Arabidopsis thaliana: one gene and its partner. The protein of the gene in region 1 binds, or shares a complex with, the protein of each later gene. Each region holds a gene or a part of one and is shown in the gene's direction. Other genes may lie near its edges.

Region 1 (8,251 bases):
TATTTATTCGCTAACAATTTACCTCAGAGAACTATCGTCCTTTGGCTGCGAAGATGATGGAGTATCGTGCTGAGAAGATTCTGCTGTGGGACTAGGAGCACTAAAGTGATCAGGTAATATGTTTAGCTTCTTAGGAGTACCATCATCCATGAATTGAAACGACTCCAGAACCTTCCACTAGAAAATGAATCAAAGCTTAGCCAGAGATGAAACTACTCTAAAACTCTCAGCTTGTAGTACATTGATTCCCCAAAAGAAGTCGAAAAAATCACATAGTTAAAAACTTTTTTGTCCATTCAAGAGATGTCATCTGAGCATGATCTAATCTAGATTCTGATATGAGACAAACTCCTATATGAACTTTAGCATTCCATGAACATTATTTAATCTCCCTAAATGACTTGTCTCTCAGTCTCTATCTTATGCTTATTCTTATCATAGATCTAATCCACAAGTATGTATGTATCATCACTTGGAGAGATATATAACTACTAAAAATCCTTATTCCTCACTGAGGATCAAACATACCTCTTTATATATCTTTCAACGCCGAATTTTACAATCCCACTTCACCAGAAATTTTGATATCCCTTGTGAGAAATCAGCTCGCTGTAAAAGAAAAACAAAGTTCAGCTTCTACAAAAAGAAAGAGGACGAAAATGAACTCTTTCTTTTTCCCATTCTAGATTTTATTAGCTCAAATTAAAAACAACAGAATCGAATTTTCTGGAAACCCTAACAAAATACAAAAACATTGAGCAGAAATAGAAGCTCGGAAGTCGGAATCGAATGACGGGAACCTCGAATAATTTGAAAAAATTGACTGAAGAGAAGATCGAGACCTTGTTTTTACCTGATCGAATGTGATCTCTGTATTCAAGGGAAAGTGTTTACGCAATTGGTTTTTTGGTTGAGTGCTTACTGCTTCAGCAGGAAGAAGATGTTGGGTTTGGGAATTTTACTCATAAAGAAACTTTAAATTTGGTACCAAAAAGACGCTTTTATCCCCCGGTTAGGTTGCGTCAGCCAGCTCTACCCACATGGGCATTGCTGCAGATATTACAAGTTTTGTAATTTGTTAACGAATGTTTGTAAACTTTTGACTAATCTTATCTACAATATAATGAATTTATCGAATCAATGTAAAAGTTGTTTTCATTCATGCTTAATACATTAATTGATCAAAGTTGCCAACTAAGTATTTGGTGATGCCGATGAGTGTAAAGGACAGCCTAAGACAAAAGTGTATGTCTAATTATGATTTGGGAGTATGGGATTCCAATTATTAATGTCGTTGACCCAAATGATTTATCTTCTTCTTGCTGCTTTTTTCTTAATAAACAAACAAATCCACATTATTAGCATTTAGCAATATGTTTAATTACATTACCATTGTTTTTAATCTAGGCCCATATCTCTTAAGAATATTCAAACTTGGTCCAGGTTAAACTTATGACAAAGCCCAAATGTTCCTACTCTTTCTCCTAAATCATTATTCCAAACACCGGTTACGCATTAACCGGTTCAGGTCCACTGGTAATTTGGAAATAGATAGAACTCATCTAACTGAAATCATGATATGTGGTCATTATAACAAGCGAATCAATCACACGCTTCTTCCTTCCTCTTCCATCTTCTTCATATCTCCCTTAGTCACCTCTACTCTACTCTGCAGGCAAAAATAGTTATGGCGACTTCTTCGATCACTATCCCGACCATTAGAACTCCGATTCATCGATCAAAATTTCTAGGCCAAACACATCAATTTTCAACTGTAAACCGGTCGGTTTTCCCGCCTCCAAAACAGCAGTCAAAACTGTATCAAGTAAAGGCCATGGGTAAATTCAATCTATGGGAAGTGATGGGAGGAAGAGGATTATGCAACGGAGAGAAAGGTATTGAGAAGGAGCTCCAGAGGAACATTGAAGACGAGCAAGAGACATCAAAGGCTGAGAACAACGAGACAGAGAGAGAGAGCGATGACAGTAACTTGTCTTTTAAAGTACCTGAAGATGGTTTCGAGAAAGAGATGATGGGTCTCACAGGAGGATTTCCCGGTGGCGAAAAGGGTTTAAAAACGTTTATCGAAAAAAATCCACCACCTCCTCCACCACCACCACCTGCAAAACAAGGAAGCGATGCATCCGCGGTTGCTACAGATAAGAAGCCGAAAGCGCCCAAGCTACCCCTTCTCATGCCGGGGATGATTGCTATAGTCAAGAACCAGAACAGTCCGTATCACATGTATTGTGGAATTGTGCAGAGGATCACTGATGGAAAAGCTGGTGTCTTGTTCGAAGGAGGAAACTGGGACCGTCTCATTACTTTCAGGCTTGAAGAGCTTGAACGAAGAGAAAAAGGTCCACCGGGTAAGAATCCAAAGTCTTGTATTCTCGAGCCTCTTATCGAACAGATGCAAAAGGAAGAGGCAGCACCATAAGTGATCTTCTCTTCTCTGTATGTAAGTTCCTGTGAATGTATATGTAACGTACCTTTGCGTTTTAGGCTACAATATTTCTGACTGGTTCTAAAAGAGCTTCATCATGTGATATAAAAAAAAGAATAAACGATGAATTTCAATCATAAAGCACTTAATAATAGAGATTCAAATGCACTCAATCAATGATGAATCAGTATAGAAGTTAAAAACTGCAATGGAGTAGTTTTATTGTTATCATTGGTTGTTGTAAACATCAACCATATCAGTTTCTTCTTGACTATCGAGTATATTCTGTAAATGGTAAAGATGAGAAGTGATCCACCATTCTTGTCAACAGATCATGTTGAAATGATCAGATGCAGCCTCCCAACTGTAAAAAAAATTCAGAAAAGGATAAGGAAGTTAGAAACAGAACAATATTATTAAATCATGAAAAGGGTTCTCTCAACTTGTAATTGGTCACATAATTATAACTTAGTAGTTGGTCACACATTATACTGTTAGATACATGTTCATCTAAGTGTTGTTATACATGTCAAAATGAAGTTACATACCAAAATGGCTTCCATTTCTTCGTTTGAAACTGGCGTGCGCTTTGGCTGCGATGATGCCTTCCCGCCAGTAGTCTTTTGGATGTTGTTCAAATTGGAGAAGAACAATGTATCAGCTTCATTTGCCACCTGACTCTTTCCCTCTGAAGCTGCAATGCCAGAAAGTAAATCGCATAACAAACAGATGATTACCCAAACCAAAAGCTAAAAAACATAAGAGCTTCTCTATAATGATTCGAGATTTGATAACAAACACGATTCGATTCAATGGCTAAACAAATCTGTGTATCCTTTGAATCTAACTATGTAAATGCAAATCAATCAGAGCGAAATAGATCGGAAAGCAAAAATTCACAGCCAAATGAATACAATCTCATATCTGATTCATGAAAATGAAACCGTACACAAAAAAAATTCGAATCAAGCGAGAAAAAGCCGAGCAAAATTGTGGAAAAAATAACATAGATTCTGTGTAGAGAGTTTCATGGATAATCGAAAACCTGAAGGATTAATATGTCTCTGAGGGAATTTGATGCGAGGAATCCTCTTCAAACCGTGAACTACGTTCATCTTCTTTTCGCTCTTTCGTTCTCGTCTGTGTACCAAAAGGAGAATGTTGACGACGGCGACTGGAAATTTTCTCTCTCTGTATTTTCCCGAACCTTCGGGTTTATTTTCAAAGTTTCTCCAAAAGTGGGCCATTTTTTGTGGTTAGGCCCAGATAAGTCTATATGACCCATTTAAAAGCCTCACAATGTTCGTTTCTCTGTTGGGACAAAAAAAATCCCTCTCAAGTCAAAACCATAAATAAAAATCAAACTAGGAATTTCTTTTTTGTTTTTGACTCAATCGTGTTTTTTGTTTGAGTGCCATTAATTGCCATAATTATGTTAATCTCAGATTCAGACTGAATGTTTGATAGCAAAGGGTAGAGACTAAGAGAGAACCAGGACTTAGTCAAGCGTAAAAATCTTTTTGGGTGGTTGGTCGTAATCCACCAAAATTTGGTAAGCTTTCAACGCGTTATCTCAATAAAAGTATTAACCACTTCTTTGTTTCTCTCTATTGTCTACACTAAATAATATATACGTTTCTATAAAAAATCCTAATAAATTGATAAAATATTTACTAATTTCCCAACAAGATATGTTTATTTTTGGTATCATTTAAAACATGAGTCCGGCCGAAAAAAAAGTTTATCAAGTTAATTGTCTATATGTGTTTTCTAGTCTGCCTTATTGTGGAAATCATTCATTTGCATTTCTTCATATACCTTACATGTTGAAAAGAATTTACCATCTTATTATTACTCAGCATTTGAGTCATAGCTAAGAGAAGAAACAGGCAATGAATGTATCGTCTGAAAGAACTGTATCAGTGGTGCGGGTAATGCAGCCTAGGGTTGGGAACTGGAAAATATGGTGGGGATTGTGGTGGAGCTGACTGGAACATACCAGCACCAGTGTATGGTGGTGGTGGTCTTCCTGGAAAAAAACTAGGAGGAGGGTATGGTATGGGTGTTGTGAAGCCAGGCACTGCTTGTGGAGGAGGATACACCATTGGAGGTGACATTGCCGCGTTAATGAAAGGCCTGGCATTGCCATTTTCATTTCCTACTCCTCGATATTGCCAGTTTGGTATCGCCATAGGCTCAATCTTTGTGTTCTTGCTTCTCTTATTTCCAAAACACATTAGAAGACAACACTTTGTTGGCTTCTTCTTTTTCTTCTCCATTGTCTTGTTTTGGTTTTGTTCCGGGGTTCTAGGAACATGGGAAGAGTAGTTGTCTCCAAGAAAAGAGACTAGTTCTGCCTTTTTGCCCCATTTCGTAAGCTTATGAAGCAATGTTGTTGGGTTGGCATCACCTGTGACTGTCAAGAGCCCTTGTTCTGCGTTATACTCAACTGTACTCACCCCTGTTTCGAAAATAATATTAGCTAGAATATTTATAACAACACTATAGCTTTAACAATATTTCACTAGTGGATCTATTACCAGAGACATTTAGCAACTTTCTCTTTGCTTTTGTCTGGCAGCCTTTGCAACACTTGATTCCAACTCTCAGAACGCAAGTCTACAGTTATTACACATAAAAAAAAACTCGTTAGAAAACTCTTAAAGGAGATGCAAAAACCTCTGGTGGTAAGAGAGAAATATACTCGAACGGGTGGAGATAGGTTTGCCATTGCATAAGCACCTTTACTTGAAACTCTAATGTAGAAGACGACTATAAATATGAGATAAGTTACTTTCAAAAATGAGTCCATAGACGTTTTGATATATTGCTGGATTCGCCTGAATTTATACAACTTTCCATGTTCTCTTGATATTGTACCTTTCAAAAACAAAAACAAAAATCTAAATGTGATTTCTTTGTTATTTTATCATCATAAATGACAACGATTAAAAAAACAAGTATGGTTCCACAAACTTGGTATCTTCATAATCAAGTGTAACGTCATTTGTTGAATATCCACGTACGAAATCATCTCCCTATACTAGTAACTGTTCCTTTTTAAAAATTGAGAAAACAATAATAGAGGATTTGAACTTTCTAGTAATGGAAGATACTTAGATACATACTTGTTTTGGGTGTGTATGAGTTTCTTAATTCAATTCATCTTCCGATTTTGAGTAATGACCAAGATCGTGTTTGTTATGCAGCCTTACTGCTGTGCAAGGCTTTCTTTCTCATATCAAGAAGCGCTTATACAAAATACTGTCAATTTTCCTCGTTTAAAACTCGACTTGACCTAATTGTACATTGTGAATAGGTTGGTTTTGGACGAACGGACTTTACGCCAAATTACATAAAGAATCTGTTATCTGTGACAAATATACACTTGTTTTCGTATTTGTTTTTTATCTTGGTTTTGTAAATATTATTCAATTATTTAGTTAGACCAGTTCAAAATGAAGTAATTGACCATGTCATATGCCGCCAGTGGCACGGCACCAATTTTTTTCAGTGGAAAGTTGGTTTTCTTTTTGTAAAAAAATATATGAAAACGTCTTGTAGTTGATTATTCCGCTAGATAATAATTAAAAATTGGATAAAGATGACCGATTTACTTAATGTCATTTCCAGAAGAGCAACATTAGAGAAAACTTTAAAGTCATGGTAAAGCTTATTGACTGATTAATGATGCAATAGAATCACTTTTCCTTGGTTTACCTTAAATTCATCAATAGACTATGGTTACATTCACATACGCAGATACTTATACGATCGTTGGTAAAAACTGATTATCTCTAATTTTTACCTTCAGATCTCTTACAATTTAACCAGTTATCTTCAATTCAATATAACCTTCCCGTAAATCAACATCGACTGTAAATTAATGGACTTGTCAATTGTTTTGTATTATTTGATTATGCTTATAAGATATTAACGTAATAGATGGTTCTTACACTTTTTGCATAGTAAAGCAAAGCAAACTTGAATAATTAAATTCTACTATTCTAGTATCCCACGGCAAAGTGACGTCATCTTCTTACCCCAAAGCACACTTCACTACGTGTCCGAATAATGGTAAAGTTGGTCGCCTATATAATTCTCTGCCCCACGAAAATTTATTATATAGAGAAAAACTTTCAAGATAACACAAAACCTTTCTCTCCCTATTTGTTGAAGAAGAAGAAAAAAAAAGAAAATGATGGATTCTCTAGCTAAATGCTTCAACAGGCTTCAAGAAAGGTACGACAACGTTCTAGAAGCAAAACCTATCTACAGAGACGACTTAGACATAACGTTGCCTCTGAACGAATCAAAGGAGGTTTCAGTAGAATCGACCAAAAAGTCTCGGTGCTTGCAGAGAGCCAAGAGGATTGACAAATCGCTGAGGTTTGAAGAAGGCGAAGAGGAAGAAGATGAACAGAATAAAAAGCCTCTGGCTAAGCCACGTAAGGTTGTGAGGTTTCAGTTAGAGAATAATAAGATCTTCGAGCCAAAGAAGACGGTGAGTTTTGATGATGATCACGAACTCAAACCAAAGGAGAATCCTCTGGAAGAAAAAGAGAGTTTGAAAATGGTTGAAGGGAAGGAAGAGGTCGTGAGGGTTAAGATCAAGATGACAAAGCATGAAGCTCAACGGTTGTTGTCGAAATGCAAAAACGACAGCGTTTTAAAGTTGGAGCATCTTATGGACCAGATCGCACACGTCCCTGTTCATCAGCTTCAAGTCGCTATGGTGATGGTTGGTTGTAATAATGAGCGACAAGGAAATGGCTGCTGGTTATCCCAGCTGGAATAAGTTAATCTTGAGTTTTTCTATCAAATTTTGTAGTTTTAGAGTAGAAACTATATAAATTTACGTTTGTATATATATTTTGTAACAGATTAATAGAAGTAACATGATTTTGTGGAATTTTTTTTGTTGTCGTCTCATAAATAGTAATGTTTCAAAATTTTGACATTAGTATATTCCAAGGCCAAAAAAAGGAAAGTCAGAAACAAAGCATAGAATTAACAAACCATGACACGAGTATAATCCAATTCCAAGGTATGGTAGAGAGAAGTTGATTGCACAAATTCGTAAAAGCGAATGATTACTGATTCACTTTGAATTGTGAAGTCTTTGTTAATTATGTCGTTTCTTTACTCAATTTAGGGAGTTAGGTTATTTTTTAGAAAACAAAATTGTGGAGTTAATTAAAGCTAATGTATCAACCTTTTACTGGTCTTTAAGATCTGAGTTTTTACAAGTTTTGTTATTATTGTATTCATATAATACTATTCTGTTAAAGAAAATGTAAATAGTGATTAAAATCAATTTGATCATCTACTCTCTTTTTCTATATGTCCAACGAGACAGGACAAATCAGCTTGGTCATTGATTACGGGTAGATAGTAGACTTTGATGATCATTTTTGCTGGCCGTATAAATTAATTTTATAACAGTTATGCGTTGTTCGTTGTGGGTATGTATCAACGTACGAAATGCACATTGGTGAAAAATTTAGATCGATTGTGATATATGAAGACTTAACAAGTTTATACTAAACTACTAATATTTATTTATGATGACAAATTGAACCTTACATGAAAGACGAAAATGAATACATAATTTCGTTTTTTCTGAGGATTTTCTCTGGGGTAAATAAGCCTTTTGCTGATCTCAAACACACTGAGATAAAATCTCAGATGAAAAAATATCCCTCGGTAAAAAAAGGGAAAAAAATCAGCAAAAGGGCAAACTCCCCCACAAAAAATCCCATTTTCATAAGAAAAATAAAAGACTTCAAGATCTCTAAAACGAAA
Region 2 (6,420 bases), on another chromosome or scaffold:
AGAGGAGAAAAGAGAATGGCCTAAAAAGTTGGAGAAAATTTGAGAATTTAATGGGAAATTTTTGAGTGAGAGAGAAAGAGAGAGGGAGAGAGAGACTTAGCTATTGAATGTAGTTAGGGGAAATGGGAAATATTTAAGGAAAAAATATGGGTTTTTAAGAAATATACAAAGAGAATAATGTTAGCAAATAAATTGTTCAAACTAGTAAGACATCAAAAACATTTTCTGTTCAATCTAGTCAAGCAATTTTGTTTAGGACAGTACTATAATTTTTTAGTCCATGTATTATTCAATATTATTATTTATATTATTTCTATTTTTTAGAAATGGTAATTTAGAATTAAATTGTGAAATTGTTTTCATTTTCCAAATAAAAAGGCTATTAACATTAAAAGAAAAATGAAAACATGTTAACAAATGAAAAATCGAAACTAAAACTGGATAAAATAAGTTTTGTATTAGAGAGGGAAGATGCAACTACCCCAACGAAGCTTTTAATGTTTTTAGACAGTTGAGATTTGACACCTAAGAGACGGCGATGACTTTTATCCCAATTGGGGGCTTTTAATTTGGCCGCGTTCTATGCAATTTACTCTTTTACCCTTTCGTTGACCCGTTATCTTCGAAACTACCCTCTTTATGTGCACAACTTGAAGACAGTTACATTTTACGTGGCCGTGTGAACTTGTGTAAATTAATCATATTATATGATTCATATATAGATGGAAAATTAATAAGTGAACCGAAATAGAAGTTTGTTGAACCAAATATGAGTAATTGTGTGGGTTATTGCCATTAAAACTAGTCCATCCATTTCATGTTCTTTTGAATGAAATTGAGCAAGTCTTATAAATACCACTTAAAAAGGTTTTTGTAAACAAAAAATGGCATACATGTTCTAATTGGTCTACTAATACCATTTTTAATCCAATGTAACTTAACTAACCATCCCTTAAGTGAAAATTAATCAGATAGTTAATGTCATATTTTTTATGTTTCAAATTAAGGATGTTCAAGATTTTTATACAGTTGGATATCAATTATAAAGAGTCCCATTTCAAAACCCGCGACTAGATGATGAGCGGAATCATCGACCGGCACAGTCCCAATTCAAAACCATTTTGCAGATAGAGAATCATACATTCTCTGTCACTCTTCTATATTAATACCGGTTGACATTGCAGCTGCAAACAAAGAAGAAGTTTGAGTTGTGGTGGATATTTTCAGAAAAACCAATTAGATATAAGATTGAGGATTTTGCTCATCATAAAATAATCTATAACTTAAATGTAGTCAAAGGAAAAACATTGCACTTTCTTTATCGCCTACTACTATATTTATTGTGAATAAATTTTAAGATAATACAAAAAAAACTATTGAACCTCATCAGAAACTAATTCACACTTGATTTTTCCTTTTTGACCAAACGAATCAAGAAAAACATTGCATTTTCACATATGTTATATCATTATCAAAGAGGTTGTAATTTCATAAACAAAAGTCTATATTTTATTTTTTACATTCTTTTTTCGTTAAAAGGCTTATAAAAGTCTATTATTTACACTTTACAACATAGTATTCACTTAAATATTTTCATTATTCTATCTAAAACTAATTTGTATATGAAATCATAACAAACAATTAAAAATACAGTTCAAAACACCAAAATTTGCCCCAAAAAAAGAAATCCAAAATTTGATAATCGTTTCCGATCGAGTTCTATTTGACTTTGTATTGACTTGCTTTGGTCTGGTCTCATCTTTAAATACCACGTTCTAACCATTCTTCATGATTTTATTCCCGCGGCTTTGGTGAAAAACGTTTAATTTTCTTAAAATGATGTTGTAGACAAGAAAACTTTGTGTCATTATCAAGAAAATAAGAAATGATGCCATTCTACCAACTCTGAACTTGAAAGCCGAAGAATCGTCACAGATAGTTTTTGTCGTAGATGTGTCATAACGAGAGAAACTACGGATCATTTGTTCTTTACGTGTCCACACGCTCGCCAAATATGGAGAGCTTCGAACATTCCCCTTCCGAGTCTATCAAATCCCCAGGTGCATTATGAAACAAAAATTAAAGAGATTTATGAATTTCATAAAAATGCAGGACAACATACAATGCAAGGGCAGCTACCTATCTCGATCCTTTGGAGAATATGGAAAAGCCGTAATAAGCTAGTGTTCCAACGAAAACAGAACGATTGGTGGAGAGATATCAGAGATGCTACAAATGAAGCGGAAGAATGGATCACAAATGGCTTATGTGCGCAAGTTCCCACTCCGAGTACGACTAATGGCACAACTAGGCAGTTTCAGAGTCAGTGGCAAAAACCACATATGGGATGGATTAAGTGTAATTACGATGGCAGCTTTGTGAATCGAGTTCGTGGCTCTACGGCAGCTTGGATAATTAGAGATGATAACGGCGTGTTCAAAGGGGCTGCTCAAGCGACAGGTGCGACCGTTTCCTCAGCCTTTGAAGCAGAATGTCAAAGCCTAATTCTTACCATGCAACAATTATGGATAAGAGGCTTTAGAAAAGTAATACTTGAAGGCGACTGCAAGCTCCTAGTCAATGTTCTGAATGGAAGAGGCTCAAGATTTGATGCTATCAATTGGATCCATGAAATCAAAGTTTGGAGAAATAAGTTTGACGCAATCAAGTTCACGTGGTCACACAGATCAACAAATCAACCTGCTGATATTTTAGCGAAAAACCAGAAACATGCTCTGTCTTCATACATAGTTCATAGCTTTATCCCATTGTGTATCTCAAATGCTCTGTTTTCAGACTACGTTTCCTAAGTAATAAAAATGAAGTTCGTGTTAAAAAAAAAAAAAAAAAAATGATGCCATTAACTCATATCATAAGTTCATAACCCAAAACTAAACTATCGTTTCATGTGTACTAACTACTTGTGAGATTTTCACAAGTCAATAACATGCGTGTGAATCTTTAACGCGTGCGTGATAAGTTTTGTATTTATATCATCATTTGGTATGTGTCAACACACAATTTGGGGAGAGTTTGTGTGGTAAGTAATGCAAAAATATATGTTTGTTATATAACATAGAACTGATTCTAATTGCTAAGAAAATTCCTACCAAACGAAGCAATTACGTTCAACAATTATTCTTAGAAGTTTGAAGAAACCATTCTCTACCACTCCACAATTCTTTCTTCTTCATTGGTTTTACAAATTCTACCTTTTCAAGTCATTCTTAAATCTTAAATAAACAAAACCAGTTTGAATTTTTTTTCGTAGTTGGTAGAAAAGTGTGTTCCAAAATGAGTTCTTTAGAAAAAAAATATTTCCAAAATGAATTATGATTTTTAATCTCTCTGCACCTTTAGTTATATCGGTAAGATATCTCAAATTCTTCAAGCAAATTATGGTACATATTTTCTATAGATAATATTGAAGAAAAAAGGAGCTTAACTAGTGTTGATTTCAACTATCGGAATCAAATATATATTTGCATTTCATTAGACACTAAACCTTTCAACAAAAAAATAATAATAATTCAATAAACACTACATGTGTAAGTGCATGTCACATGGATTACAAATCATTAAGCTAATATCTTCGATGAATTAAGAAGATAAGTGGATAACAAGTACCTAACCGCAATAGTCCATAAATTAAAACATTAATGTATTTGTCGTTGAAAATTTGGCCGACTTTTATTTGTTATTCTAGTTTCCACATCAAAAATGTTTGTACTTCGTAGCAATCCATCCACCTAAACCCCAAATCTTAATTTATATTTGTTGCGTTTAAATTTGGGTGAGATTTGATTCTAAGTAGTTGAGATAAATTGATATTCTATTCATTAGTAAAATGATAGAGAAATTGGTTTATAATAATTTTACCCTAGAACATGACATGATATTGGTAACCATTAATCAAAGAAAGAGCAAAGCATTTAATTTACCCTACTCTCCAACCACTCCAGCCTTTATTAGTTGCAGTTGGGAATCATTTCTTTATGATTCTTATGTCATTGTCTCCTAAATCAATGAAGTGCCTTGACCTTGTTACTAATTCGAACATAGCAAAGCCAACTACATAGATCCTTTACAAAGTTCTAAAAACAGGTTGTTTAGGCGTCTAGACAAACAAAACCATTTTGTACGATTCAACAAATTGGTCCATAGAATGTTATTGATCTTTCTTGTTTAGGCATTCGATAAATCGGCTAATACATTATTTTTTTGTTTTGCTTTTTCCTTATTAAAAATATGCAAAGTATTATGATGTTTAACCTGAACTGAATTTTACATTTAACTGGATATAGGAAAATATTGGGTTGAATTTAATAATTAAGCAATTGTCACGTAAATCAAATTGGGCTTAATATATATTGTTGATTTCAGCAAAGACAAAGTTGGGCCGTTTCAATAGTCTTCACGCGATGTAAGCGTTCACTAACCAACTAGAGAAGACAATCAAATGAATACGTTCCACGTGACGCTTACGAACTTGTCAGTCACTTTGGTAATATGACAGACAGTAACCAGTAAACTACTAATCTCTTTCGCTAACGAACACACAAAAAAAAAAAGAACCGTTTTTTCTTTCTATGGCTCCAAAACTCTGAGACAGAGCAAGAAAAAGATAAAGTGAGTGAAAAAATGGCAACGGTCACGATTCTCTCACCCAAATCGATTCCAAAGGTCACTGATTCCAAATTCGGAGCTAGGGTTTCTGATCAGATCGTCAATGTCGTAAAATGCGGCAAATCCGGCCGGAGATTGAAGTTAGCGAAGCTGGTCTCAGCGGCTGGATTGTCACAGATCGAACCAGACATCAACGAAGACCCGATTGGTCAATTCGAGACTAATAGCATTGAAATGGTAAAGATTCAATTGATTTTAAATTCATAATTCTGCTGAAAGTTGTTTCTGATTGGTTAGCGCTTTTGTTAATAGGAAGATTTCAAGTATGGATATTACGATGGAGCTCATACTTACTATGAAGGAGAAGTTCAAAAGGGTATAATTTTGGTTTCTCCTATTGATTCTTGTCGCTGTTTCGATTTTAGAGCTATAATATTTCTTTGTTTGATTGATTGATTAGTCTTCTTGGAAATGTTTCTTAGGAACATTTTGGGGAGCAATTGCTGATGACATTGCTGCTGTGGATCAAACTAATGGGTTTCAAGGTATGAATTTAACCCGCTTTTTAGTGCTTTTTATGTACCGCAGATTGATTGAAAACTCGCGGTTTTTTTATGTCTGCAGGTTTGATCTCTTGTATGTTTCTTCCTGCTATAGCTCTTGGGATGTATTTTGATGCTCCGGTAACTTCAAAATCTTTTGCTTGCTTCCAAAATTTATCATTACTAGTTTTATCGCTTTTGTTTTGTGGAGGACGTACAAGAGATTAGATAATTAAGCCAAGTATGAGAAGAAAAAGAATCACCAGTGTTTGTGTGTGTGTGTTGCAGGGTGAGTACTTGTTCATAGGTGCAGCGTTATTCACGGTAGTGTTCTGTATAATAGAGATGGATAAACCTGACCAGCCACACAACTTCGAGCCTCAGATATACAAATTGGAGAGAGGAGCTCGTGACAAGCTCATTAATGACTACAACACAATGAGCATTTGGGACTTTAATGACAAATATGGTGATGTATGGGATTTCACCATTGAGAAAGATGATATCGCCACACGATAAGATAATGGATTGTGATCTCGTTATAATCATGACTTTTGATGTAAACTGTTTTATAAAATTGATGAATGAACGGGGTACAATGTGTATAATATTGATTGTTCATTCTCTTATTTTTCTTTAGTACCATAAAACCTAGATTCTCATCTTGTAGTGTTAGGTTTCTGTTCTTCACTATATGTTTTTTTAAGATCTAAGTACCTCGTATGGACCCAACGAGTTTCCATACCCATCATTAGTTCATACAATGGTGGATAAACCATACAATTTGAGGTTGACGTATGCCACACGCTAACTTCATCCCCTGGTCCAAACACAACAATATAGTGTTCCAGTATTGTGGAAGAGTCCGAGGAGCTAAACACACCTTCGAGTTCTATCGAGTTGGAACATCAAGTGACAAACCAGCTCCACTCCTAATCCCTAGTCTCTCTACAAGAAAATGCTTTAACGTATCTCTGACACTTTCTTTAATATTGTGCAAACTATTCGTAAGTTCCATACCAGTTTTTACTATGATACTAGATGAGTACCCACGCTACGCGTGGGTTTGTTTTGAAAATTGTTAAAAAATATTTAGATTGATTGTTAGTTTTGCTAATTTATGTTTATTTTTGTATTGTTAATGAAATTAGATCCATATTATTTACAATTTTTATGGTTAGATTCATTTGTAACTCGAAATATCAATTTCTAATTTTCATGTATAAAGCTATTTATAAGATGTTAATATTTG

The links.
Region 2: NdhS (region 1) and PnsB5 share a complex: the UniProt entries of both Arabidopsis thaliana proteins name them as parts of the chloroplast NDH complex.

What each region holds. Positions count from the first base shown.
Region 1 is NC_003075.7:12,414,782-12,423,032, reverse strand, and holds NdhS (NAD(P)H-quinone oxidoreductase subunit S), read left to right. Parts: upstream 1-1,568; 5' UTR 1,569-1,687; coding exon 1,688-2,440; 3' UTR 2,441-2,619; downstream 2,620-8,251. Other genes in the region: AT4G23895 (Pleckstrin homology (PH) domain-containing protein), read right to left, coding at 23-150; AT4G23885 (uncharacterized protein), read right to left, coding at 2,793-2,810, 2,995-3,140, 3,492-3,561; AT4G23882 (Heavy metal transport/detoxification superfamily protein), read right to left, coding at 4,366-4,907, 4,987-5,065, 5,151-5,326, 5,423-5,480; AT4G23880 (uncharacterized protein), read left to right, coding at 6,645-7,244. UniProt on the Arabidopsis thaliana protein: NDH shuttles electrons from NAD(P)H:plastoquinone, via FMN and iron-sulfur (Fe-S) centers, to quinones in the photosynthetic chain and possibly in a chloroplast respiratory chain.
Region 2 is NC_003076.8:17,579,367-17,585,786, reverse strand, and holds PnsB5 (NAD(P)H dehydrogenase 18), read left to right. Parts: upstream 1-4,511; 5' UTR 4,512-4,641; coding exon 4,642-4,863; intron 4,864-4,938; coding exon 4,939-5,002; intron 5,003-5,108; coding exon 5,109-5,171; intron 5,172-5,250; coding exon 5,251-5,309; intron 5,310-5,456; coding exon 5,457-5,687; 3' UTR 5,688-5,920; downstream 5,921-6,420. Other genes in the region: AT5G43755 (non-LTR retrolelement reverse transcriptase-like protein), read left to right, coding at 2,015-2,060, 2,227-2,460, 2,560-2,810. UniProt on the Arabidopsis thaliana protein: NDH shuttles electrons from NAD(P)H:plastoquinone, via FMN and iron-sulfur (Fe-S) centers, to quinones in the photosynthetic chain and possibly in a chloroplast respiratory chain.